Linked DNA regions of Macaca mulatta. The protein of the gene in region 1 binds, or shares a complex with, the protein of each later gene. Links are inferred from orthologs where the notes say so. Each region holds a gene or a part of one and is shown in the gene's direction. Other genes may lie near its edges.

Evidence for each region.
Region 2: STX18 (region 1) and STX4 share a complex: the UniProt entries of both Homo sapiens proteins name them as parts of the SNARE complex. The link is inferred for Macaca mulatta from reciprocal best matches to the Homo sapiens genes STX18 and STX4.

Annotation. Positions count from the first base shown.
Region 1 is NC_133410.1:8,445,326-8,449,750, forward strand, and holds the start of STX18 (syntaxin-18), read left to right. Parts: upstream 1-1,599; 5' UTR 1,600-1,617; coding exon 1,618-1,785; intron 1,786-4,425. UniProt on the Homo sapiens protein: Syntaxin that may be involved in targeting and fusion of Golgi-derived retrograde transport vesicles with the ER.
Region 2 is NC_133425.1:29,670,399-29,674,923, forward strand, and holds the start of STX4 (syntaxin-4), read left to right. Parts: upstream 1-1,440; 5' UTR 1,441-1,709; coding exon 1,710-1,739; intron 1,740-1,916; coding exon 1,917-2,018; intron 2,019-2,107; coding exon of another isoform or gene 2,108-2,129; coding exon 2,130-2,229; intron 2,230-2,365; coding exon 2,366-2,440; intron 2,441-2,876; coding exon 2,877-2,947; intron 2,948-4,525. Other genes in the region: uncharacterized protein LOC144337996, read right to left, coding at 1,050-1,169, 1,279-1,435. UniProt on the Homo sapiens protein: Plasma membrane t-SNARE that mediates docking of transport vesicles. Necessary for the translocation of SLC2A4 from intracellular vesicles to the plasma membrane.

The DNA of each region.
Region 1 (4,425 bases):
GGGGACACAGTAAGACTTCGTCTAAAAAAAAAAAAAAAAACTTTTCCTTCCTCCTTTCTGGTAAATATACACTTTCTTGACATCTATTTCTGATAAACTTTATTTCTTTAACACAGTGTTCTCAAACTTTTGGTCTCAACTCTTTTGCACACTTAAAAATTATTAAGGGCTCTAAACAATTTTTGTTTATATTGACATTATCGACATTCACTATATGAGAAATTAAAAACTTTTGATGTTTTTGAAAATCTTTTTTTTGAAGTCTGGCTTAATAGAAAACAGCTGTTCTGCATTTATTCCGTTGCAATATCACAGTCTAGCAAACTCAACTGTATGCAACTCATGAGAAAGTGAGAGTGAAAAGGCAAATAACATCTTAGTATTATGAAAATACTTTTATATTGACCATTAAAACCACTATTTTAATACACATTCTACTTGTGCATCCTCTTTATGGAAAAAAAAATCTTGAAGAAATCAATGAGATTTTGAATATCCTTAGGCCAGCCATGGTGGCAAGTGCCTACAGTTCCAGCTACTCAGGAGGCGGAGCCGCGGAGGATCGTTTGTGCCCTGGCGTTCCAGTCTGTAATGAGCTAGGATGGCGCCTCTGAATAGCCACTGCAATCCAGCCTGGGCAACATAGCAGACCCCCATCTCAAAAAACAACACAAAACAGAACCATGAACCAAAAATGCAGAAGAAACTCATTGACTGACTTGTCAATTTTAATAGCTATGGCTCAAGACGGTACAATTAAAAACTATGCATGAAGGAAGAACAGAATCCAGCGACATTAGGGCCACTCTTTCACCTTTGCCTCCATCTAAAGTTCCTATTCATCCTTCAAATCTCTGCACAGGTGACGCCTTTTCTCTACAGCCTCTTCCATCACCACAAATACGAGTGATTATAATAATATTATTAACGATTACTACCATTTATTGGCCACTTACTAGGAGCCAAGCAACATCAAAACACAGCACGCGTCAGCTCACTTAATTTTCACAGTAAACTCCGAGGAGGATGCTGGCTTCACTTTACAAAGAGGTGACTGAAGGGTGGAGAAGAAAGACCTCTGGCCTCTAGCTCTATGCCTTGCACATCTGCTCTGTCTCAGCACTTATTGCACCCCGAGGGTCACCGTCCAAGTGCCTCTGTCCTGCTCAAGGTGAGTCCTTGCAGTCAAAGGTCAAGGGTGGCTCGCCTCCACGTCCCCCGCAACCAAACCGCCCGCTCTCAGTGAGGGAGCCACCAGAAGGGAAGGAGCCTCCCAGCTTCCCGGTCCTCACGCTCCCGGAGCCCACACGCCCCAAAAAAGCACAGGAGAGCTCGCTGAGCTCTCCGCGCTGCTAAACCCTCCAAGCTTTGCCGGGAGAAAGAGGTGCCCGTGAGCTCGTCGCGGGGTTCCTCCTCCGCCAGGTGCGCCGCTGAGTTCGGAATCTTTTTCCTCCCGCCGCGGTAGCGGGGCTCAGGCCGGAACCTTTCTTCTCGCATCGCAGTTGCCGGTGGGGAGGAGTGCGGGGCAGGACCAGTCCTCCAGCGGCCGGGTTCTCGCCGCGGTCGCCGGCTGCTTACGTGAGCCGGCCCAGTGTGGGGCTGCGGGTACGGGTCGCTATGGCCGTGGACATCACGCTGCTATTCCGGGCCAGCGTCAAGACCGTGAAGACGCGGAACAAGGCGCTGGGAGTGGCGGTGGGCGGCGGGGTCGATGGAAGCCGGGATGAGCTGTTCCGCCGGAGCCCCCGGCCCAAGGGCGACTTCTCCAGCCGGGCCCGCGAAGTGGTGAGCTGGTTGCTATGGAAACGGCGGGTTGAGGAGGGGGCAGTCCTGCGACAGGGACCCCGAGCCCCAAACCACACCCCGTCCCATAAGCATTGTGTGAAGGAGGTGGCCCCAAGGGGGACAGGAGAGTTGGCCTCAGAGACCGGACAGCTTTTTGGGGAAGGAACAGCCTTATTTTAAGGAAGGGGGACGCATATTGGGGAACAGATTTCTCCTGCGGCGGCGGGGGTTGGGGGACGAGGAAGGAGACCCTCAGAAATCTCTATCTGGAAAGTGCACGGGCGGCTTTGTGAGGTCATGAGTTCGCCGTCACTACAGACTTGCACTCAGGGGAAACCTCACTGTCCTTCACTTCCTGTTGCAGAACTGACCACACCGTATTTGCCTGTGCTCTTTACTTGTCTGCCTCCCATCCCCAGATGAGATTAAAAACCATATTCATCCGAACTCTTTCTTCTCTTTGTCTCCGCGATAAGTAGGGCTCAGTTCCTCTTGAGACGAGTTTAGGGTCATCTTTCGCAAACACGGTGTTACAGTCATCTCAACTACTTTCTGTTCCCTGATCAGAGCAGGTGTCCCTTCATTTCTCTGGGAACAGGAACCTTTTCCTTAAGGGCAGGGACAGTTGTTTTCATCTCACAATGCATGACTCATAGCATTGCTTAGTAAATGTTTGTTGAATGAATGAATGAACAAAATGGCTGTCTTTCCCGTTAAACAGAAAATTCCATGAGGGGAGAGATGTTTGTCTTGTTCCCTTTTGTGTCCGTGACACCAAGGAGGGATCTAGGTTTTGTGGGGCCGAAAGTTTTTATAGTTATGTCTGCCGTCTTTAAGAAATAAAAATCACCAAGAGAGATTCAGAGCTTTGGAAGATGGAAGTGAGGGACCCCGAAGCTAAAACCTCATTAATTTCACAGTAAATCCTACTCTGCTTGGCATACACTTGGCACTGCATAGACACTCAGATGTTTTCGAATGAATGTATGCATGCATGCATTAATGACAGTTAGCAGAGGATACTTAAACATCAGAAAGGGGTTGGACCAGATGAATACACTCTCCCTATTGATGAACATCTATGAAGCACCTACTTTCTGACCAGCCTCATGTTAGAGTAATATGATGTAAAAGGAGTAGTGGAGTAGACGGACATAGACATAAAACAAGTGCCATAAAGCCTTGCAAGTGTTATGTAGGGCACAAAGAAGAATGTGGTCAGTTCTACCTGAGGATCAGAAAAGGCTTTATAGAGGTGATGATGCCCAAAACAAATCTTGAAAGAGGATTAGTTGGCTGCAGTGCAGAAGGGCATCTCAGGCTAAAAGAATAGTATGCGCTAAGATGTGGAGGTGTGTAAGAGTCTGATATAAGTTGGTTCAATAAACATTTGAGTGAGACTGGTATGTGGGACTCTCATAAAAATTGGACCGGGAGAGATCTTAAAGGGCTTTGTATATCACTGCGGAGTTTGAATTTTGCCCTCTAGGCCGTCAGATGTTATATGGTAGAGAAAGTACCAGAGAAGGAGCCAGGAGACCAGGTTGTTGTCTGAACCCTGCAACTGTTAGCTATATGATTTCATTAAGCAAGTGTCAAGACCTCAGTTTATTTACCTGTAAATGGTCTTTTTTTTTCTCCTCCTCCTTTTAAAAAACTACCCTGGTCCTCTATATATAACAAATTAAAGTGGAAGCTTCCTAGGCTGAAATGAGAGGAAGAGAAACAGGACACTCTCCCTCCCAGTTTGGCCTAAGCACTTCCTGGGGTTCCTTTTGTAGAACCGTGGTATGAATATCACAGTATTGGCGTTGTAAGGGTCCCTTCTGACTCTGAAACCACTGATTTATGAACACTGTGCTAATTTTGAGTCCTGCTCAGGGAAAGGGGGGATTTGGGAATGGTCGAGACAAGAGGCACAGTTGAGTTGGCAAGCCCTTTGGATAGCCCTGTGATCACTTCCACCGCTCCCTGAGTGGTGAAAATGTGTTTTAGACTTTTGAGTTAATGGGCCTCAGGGACAGTAACAGTCCTGTAGGGTGCTGAGTTCCCTGTCACTGGAAGTAATTAAACAGAGTGATGACTGCTTTTCAGAGATGTTTGAGAAGAACTTTGTGCATATGTCATAGGTTTGGACCGCGTGACAGTGAAACTTCCAATTCTGCTATGTATTGATGTGAGTAGGTGTCACATTACCTTAAGTGAGTACATGGGCTGTGTTGTTCAGGGACACTGTCCCCCTGACGTAGAGGAAACATACATTCTTGTAAGCAATTTTGATTTTGTGTTGTCATTGCTTTGCGTATTATCTCCTGTTCTTCCAACCATTCCCCACTCCCCATCTTCTTTTGTGGGAATTTTAACTAGAAGAGCTAGTGATGGATGTCCTGTGCTTTCACTATGATTAGATGTGTCAAAAGTTTGCCTGTTATTTTGTTTGGCCTGGATTCCTTATACAGAAAAGTCTGGTCAATACCAGAAGCACATATTCTAATTCAGGTTTAGCCCTGGTTGTCAGACTTAATGAAATGTAGTAAGTTATAGTATGCCTTTTGGTAAGTGCCTTCCTTGAAGCATTTGCTGTTACTTCTAGGATGCGTTTTAATCTGGTTCAATTTCTGTTCTTCCATTCCATTCCTC
Region 2 (4,525 bases), on another chromosome or scaffold:
AGCAGAAAGGGTCCATTCCTTTCCTTGCTTGTACCTTCACAGAAGCTTCCTGGACAGAGCCCTGGGGTCCAGGAGACCCGTTATTCATTCCCAGCTATGCTGAGACTTACTAAATGACCTTGGGGACTCCTTCTAGAGAATTTAAGTTCCACGAGTGCAGGAATTTTTATCTATTAGTCCTTGATGTATCTCCAGCCCTAGAACAGTGTTTGGCCCATAGTATGTGCCCAAAAATATCCATTAAATGAATGTTCTGTGCATGGTGGTGCATGCCTGTAATCCCAGCAGTTTGGGAGGCTGAGGCAGGAGGATTGCTTGAGCCCAGGAGTTAGAGACCAGCTTGGACAACATAGTGAGACCCCATCTTGTAAAAATTTTTAAAAATAAAAAATGAGTGAATATCTCGATAGCCAGGATTAGAGAAGTGTCACAGTCAGAAAGACTGAAGCCTAAAGAAGGCCAAGGAACCAGGGTCTTCATCCTCAGATACATGAAAGGCTAAGATTCTGTCCACAAGTATTTATAGAGGGCCCGTAATGTGCTTGGTACTGAGCTAGGAACTCCCCAGATTCAGTTAAGAACAAAGTCATTACCTGCCTCAGATGCAAGGCAGGGTCTGGGGGGTGTGAGTGGCAGGGAAGGCAGCGTGCAGAGACACTTTTCTTAGCCTGAGCTGCCCTGACATGGTCTGACAGCCCACAAGGTGGTGAGTGAAGCCGGGCTGTAGTGTTCAAGGAGGGCGCCGGCTGGCTGCCCACCTGTCAGAGGCTGCGCCAGGAGGATGCGGAAGAAGAGGTTTCTGCCTTGGCTGAGGTCAATTTCCACCCCTAGATTCCCTGCCCACACAACCCTGCAATTTTCTGACGCTGACGACTCGGATCCTATTATTTCCCGATTTTCAAGGTCCCATGATGCTGACAGCCCCAAATGCTAAGTCGTCAGTCCGCCCACGCCCCTGGACCCGAAAGCAATAAAGGCGAAGTCAGCAAGGGTCCTACCACCCACTGCCTCGAAAGGCCTCTGGGAGTGGTGGGCGCGCCCCTCCCCACCTCGCGGGGGCCGTGTGGGCGTCGTTCGGTGGTCGGAGTGCCGGGGACGTCGTGATGAAAACAGCGTCCCAGAGACGGCGCTGACCGAGCCGGGACACGTGACAGTCACAGCGTCACATTCTGCGGTCCACGAGTTTGGGACCGGGTTGGTCACGTGACGCGGTGGGGGCACCATGGGGTGATGTGAGATGCGGGTGCCTCAGATTACGTACAAATGACGTATTCCTACCCCTTTTGGCAACCAGATTTCCGTTGGAAGATGCAACGGTTCCGGTGACGGTAGCCAGTTCTCGCGTCCACGCAGCTCCGCTTCCGCTCGGGGCGCAACAACTTCCGACTCCACCTTCCGCGCCTCGGGCGAGGAAGAGACGCGACCATATGCGCATGCCCCGAATTTATCACGGAGGGGCGGGGCTGAGGCTGCGGGAGCTGGAGGGGGGAAGAAAAGGGAATTCCAACCTGTGGAACCTTGGGGGGTCCCCGGGGTCGGCGCCTTCCCATTGACTGTGGGCGGTGCAAGGGACGGAGGCTCTGGTGGCTCGTGGGGGTGTTGGGGTCCACAGGGGGAGGGAGGGGAGTGTCAGAGTGTGAGTGGGGTACGGGTATTCCAAGTTTGCCGGCCTCCCGGTCTGACGCCGGGGAGGGAGAGCTCAGGCCGCCATGCGGGACAGGACCCACGAGCTGAGGCAGGTGAGACGCCAGGGCAGCGGGGATGGGGGCGCGCGGACGAACTGGAACGCAGGACTCCTGGTCTTCGGGGTAGGGAGGGGTGGCTGATGGCCAGGAAGGAAAGTCCCGGAAGCCTGTGGGTCCTGCGGGGTGACAGCCGCAGCGAAACAGTGGTGCCAATGACTCCGGGCCTGGCAGGGGGATGACAGCTCGGACGAAGAGGACAAGGAGCGAGTCGCGCTGGTGGTGCACCCGGGCACGGCACGGCTGGGGAGCCCGGACGAGGAGTTCTTCCAGAAGGTAAGGGGATGGAGTCTTGGCCTGGATTCGCGAGGGGGTAGGAGGACCCGAGGAGCAGCGTGGTCTGGAGTACCCCATATCTCTTTCAGCCCTCTCGGTCACCCTCCCCAGGTCCGGACAATTCGGCAGACTATTGTCAAGCTGGGGAATAAAGTCCAGGAGTTGGAGAAACAGCAGGTCACCATCCTGGCCACGCCCCTTCCTGAGGAGAGTGAGTGAAACCCCGGCTGCATAGCGCATGCTCCGCCCCAGGGATTGTGGGGGTTGTAGTTCCACGCAGGTGGTGGCCAGGGTGGTTTGTTGAGGTGGGGGCTGCTGTTTGGGAGTCGTGGCCTTCTCTTATTCAGGCATGAAGCAGGAGCTGCAGAACCTGCGCGACGAGATCAAACAGCTGGGGAGGGAGATCCGCCTGCAGCTGAAGGGTGAGCTACTGGGACCTCAGGCAGATCCTTCCCTCTGATCCTGCCCTGTTGTTGGTATATCTGGGGAGTGTGTGGCCCAGAGAAGCCAGTGATATATCCAGGTCACACAGCAGGCCTGGTTCTAGCATCTCTGTCTTCTGGCCTCCAGGCCATTGTACTCTCCACAGCACAAGGCAGTCTCTCAGGTTCTTTTATTTACAATGAAACCATTTACTTACACAGTTATCACTGCCCACTGGGCATTCTTTGGGCAGGGAGATGGGGTTTTGTTAGGTGGCCTCTGCATTCCTACGGGAACTCAAGTGATGTAATGCAAAGAAAAATAAACTTACTTTCTCCTCTTGGAGGCTCAGCCTTAGTCATTTTATGATAAATTATATTTCCCTAAAAATCCTATGGAGACAAGTACCCCCAATACCCCTGTGTCTTCCCACAGCCATAGAGCCCCAGAAGGAGGAAGCTGATGAGAACTATAACTCCATCAACACAAGAATGAGAAAAACCCAGGTGGGTTTTTTTTCTCAGAAATGACATTTCAGCAAATGTTTCATGAAGTATTAGATGACAGATGTATGAAGGAAGGGCCTGTAGATGTCATGGAGTCCAATTGGATGATTTTTCCAAGTGGGGAACCTGAGCTCAGAGAGAGAAAGAACTTGCTCAAGGTCAGGAAACCAGGTCTCCTGATGCTCAGTCCGGTTATAACACCCTGCTTTATTTTCTTCCATTCAATAAGAAGTTACTTATTGACCCCAGACAAGACCTAGGCTTGACTGTGGGACACGTTTTCTTTTCTTTTTGCCTCAGCCTCCTGAATAGCTGGGATTACAGGCGGACACCACCATGCCGAGTTAATTTTTGTATTTTTAGTAGAGACGGGGTTTCCCCATGTTGGCCAGGCTGGTCTCGAACTCCTGACCTCAGGTGACCCTCCTGCCTTGGCCTCCCAAAGTGCTGGAATTACAGGCGTGAGCCACTGCGCCCAGCTGGGACACGTGTTTTCTAGGAGTCAACATGAGGAGTTAGGGTTCAATAGGGGATAAAGACATTACTCACGTGGGATCTGGTGGCTAATGGCGCTGCCCAGGGAAGGAGAGTGAGAAGTCACAAATTGACTGGCAGGTTTGCTATCTGTGTGACAGGGACATCCTTAGTCCCACAGGTGGAATTCAAGAAGTCAGGAAGTGGAACTTCCCTGGGGCGACACTGAAGAGGAACTCCCCTGGTGTAATATCTTTTTTTTAAAAATTATTATTATTTTTTTGAGATGGAGTCTCTCTCTGTCGCCCAGGCTGGAGTACAGTGGCACAGTCTTGGCTGACTGCAACCTCCACCTCCTTCAAGCGATAATCCTCCCTCAGCCTCACAAGTAGCTGGGATTACAGGTGTACACCACCACACCTGGCTAGTTTTTTATATTTTTGGTAGAAATGAGGTTTCACCATGTTGGCCAGGCTGGTCTTGAACTCCTGACCTCAAGTCCTCAAGTGATCCACCTGCTTTGGCCTCCCAAAGTGCTATGATTACAGGCATGAGCCACCGTGCACGGCCCCTGGGGTGATATCTTAGTAAGGAGATTTGCAGTGATCTGACTGGCCCTCTTTGTGTCCCCAGTGAGGAGGATACCAAGAGGTCAGGGTTGGAGTAGTTGAGCCCAGGGCTCAGCAAAGACCCCAGATTGAAGATGAAACAGCTTGGGCATCTTGGAAGGGTGCAGCTGGAACCAGGAGAGCAGATGTATCTCTGGAAAAGGAACTCCAAGGAATGAGCATATTTAAGGTCTCAGGAGAAGGGGCAAGGCAGAGCAGATGCCCCAGAGCCAGTGTTTCTGGGGAAGCCTCTGGTGGTGATTGGCATGAGTGGTCGAGGGCCCATGTGGGCCTGTTGCACCTGTTTCGCCCAGGCAGCATGTTCATCTCTAGGCATAGGAACTGTGGTGTAGGCAGCAAGGTTGGCATTCAGCAAGCATTCAGCAGTTACATATTGGGTGCCTACTGTGTGCCAGACCTTTTTGGAACTGTTTAGGGTACAGCAGTGAATCAATGATCCCTATCCTCATGGAACTTCCCTTCTGGTGTAGACAAT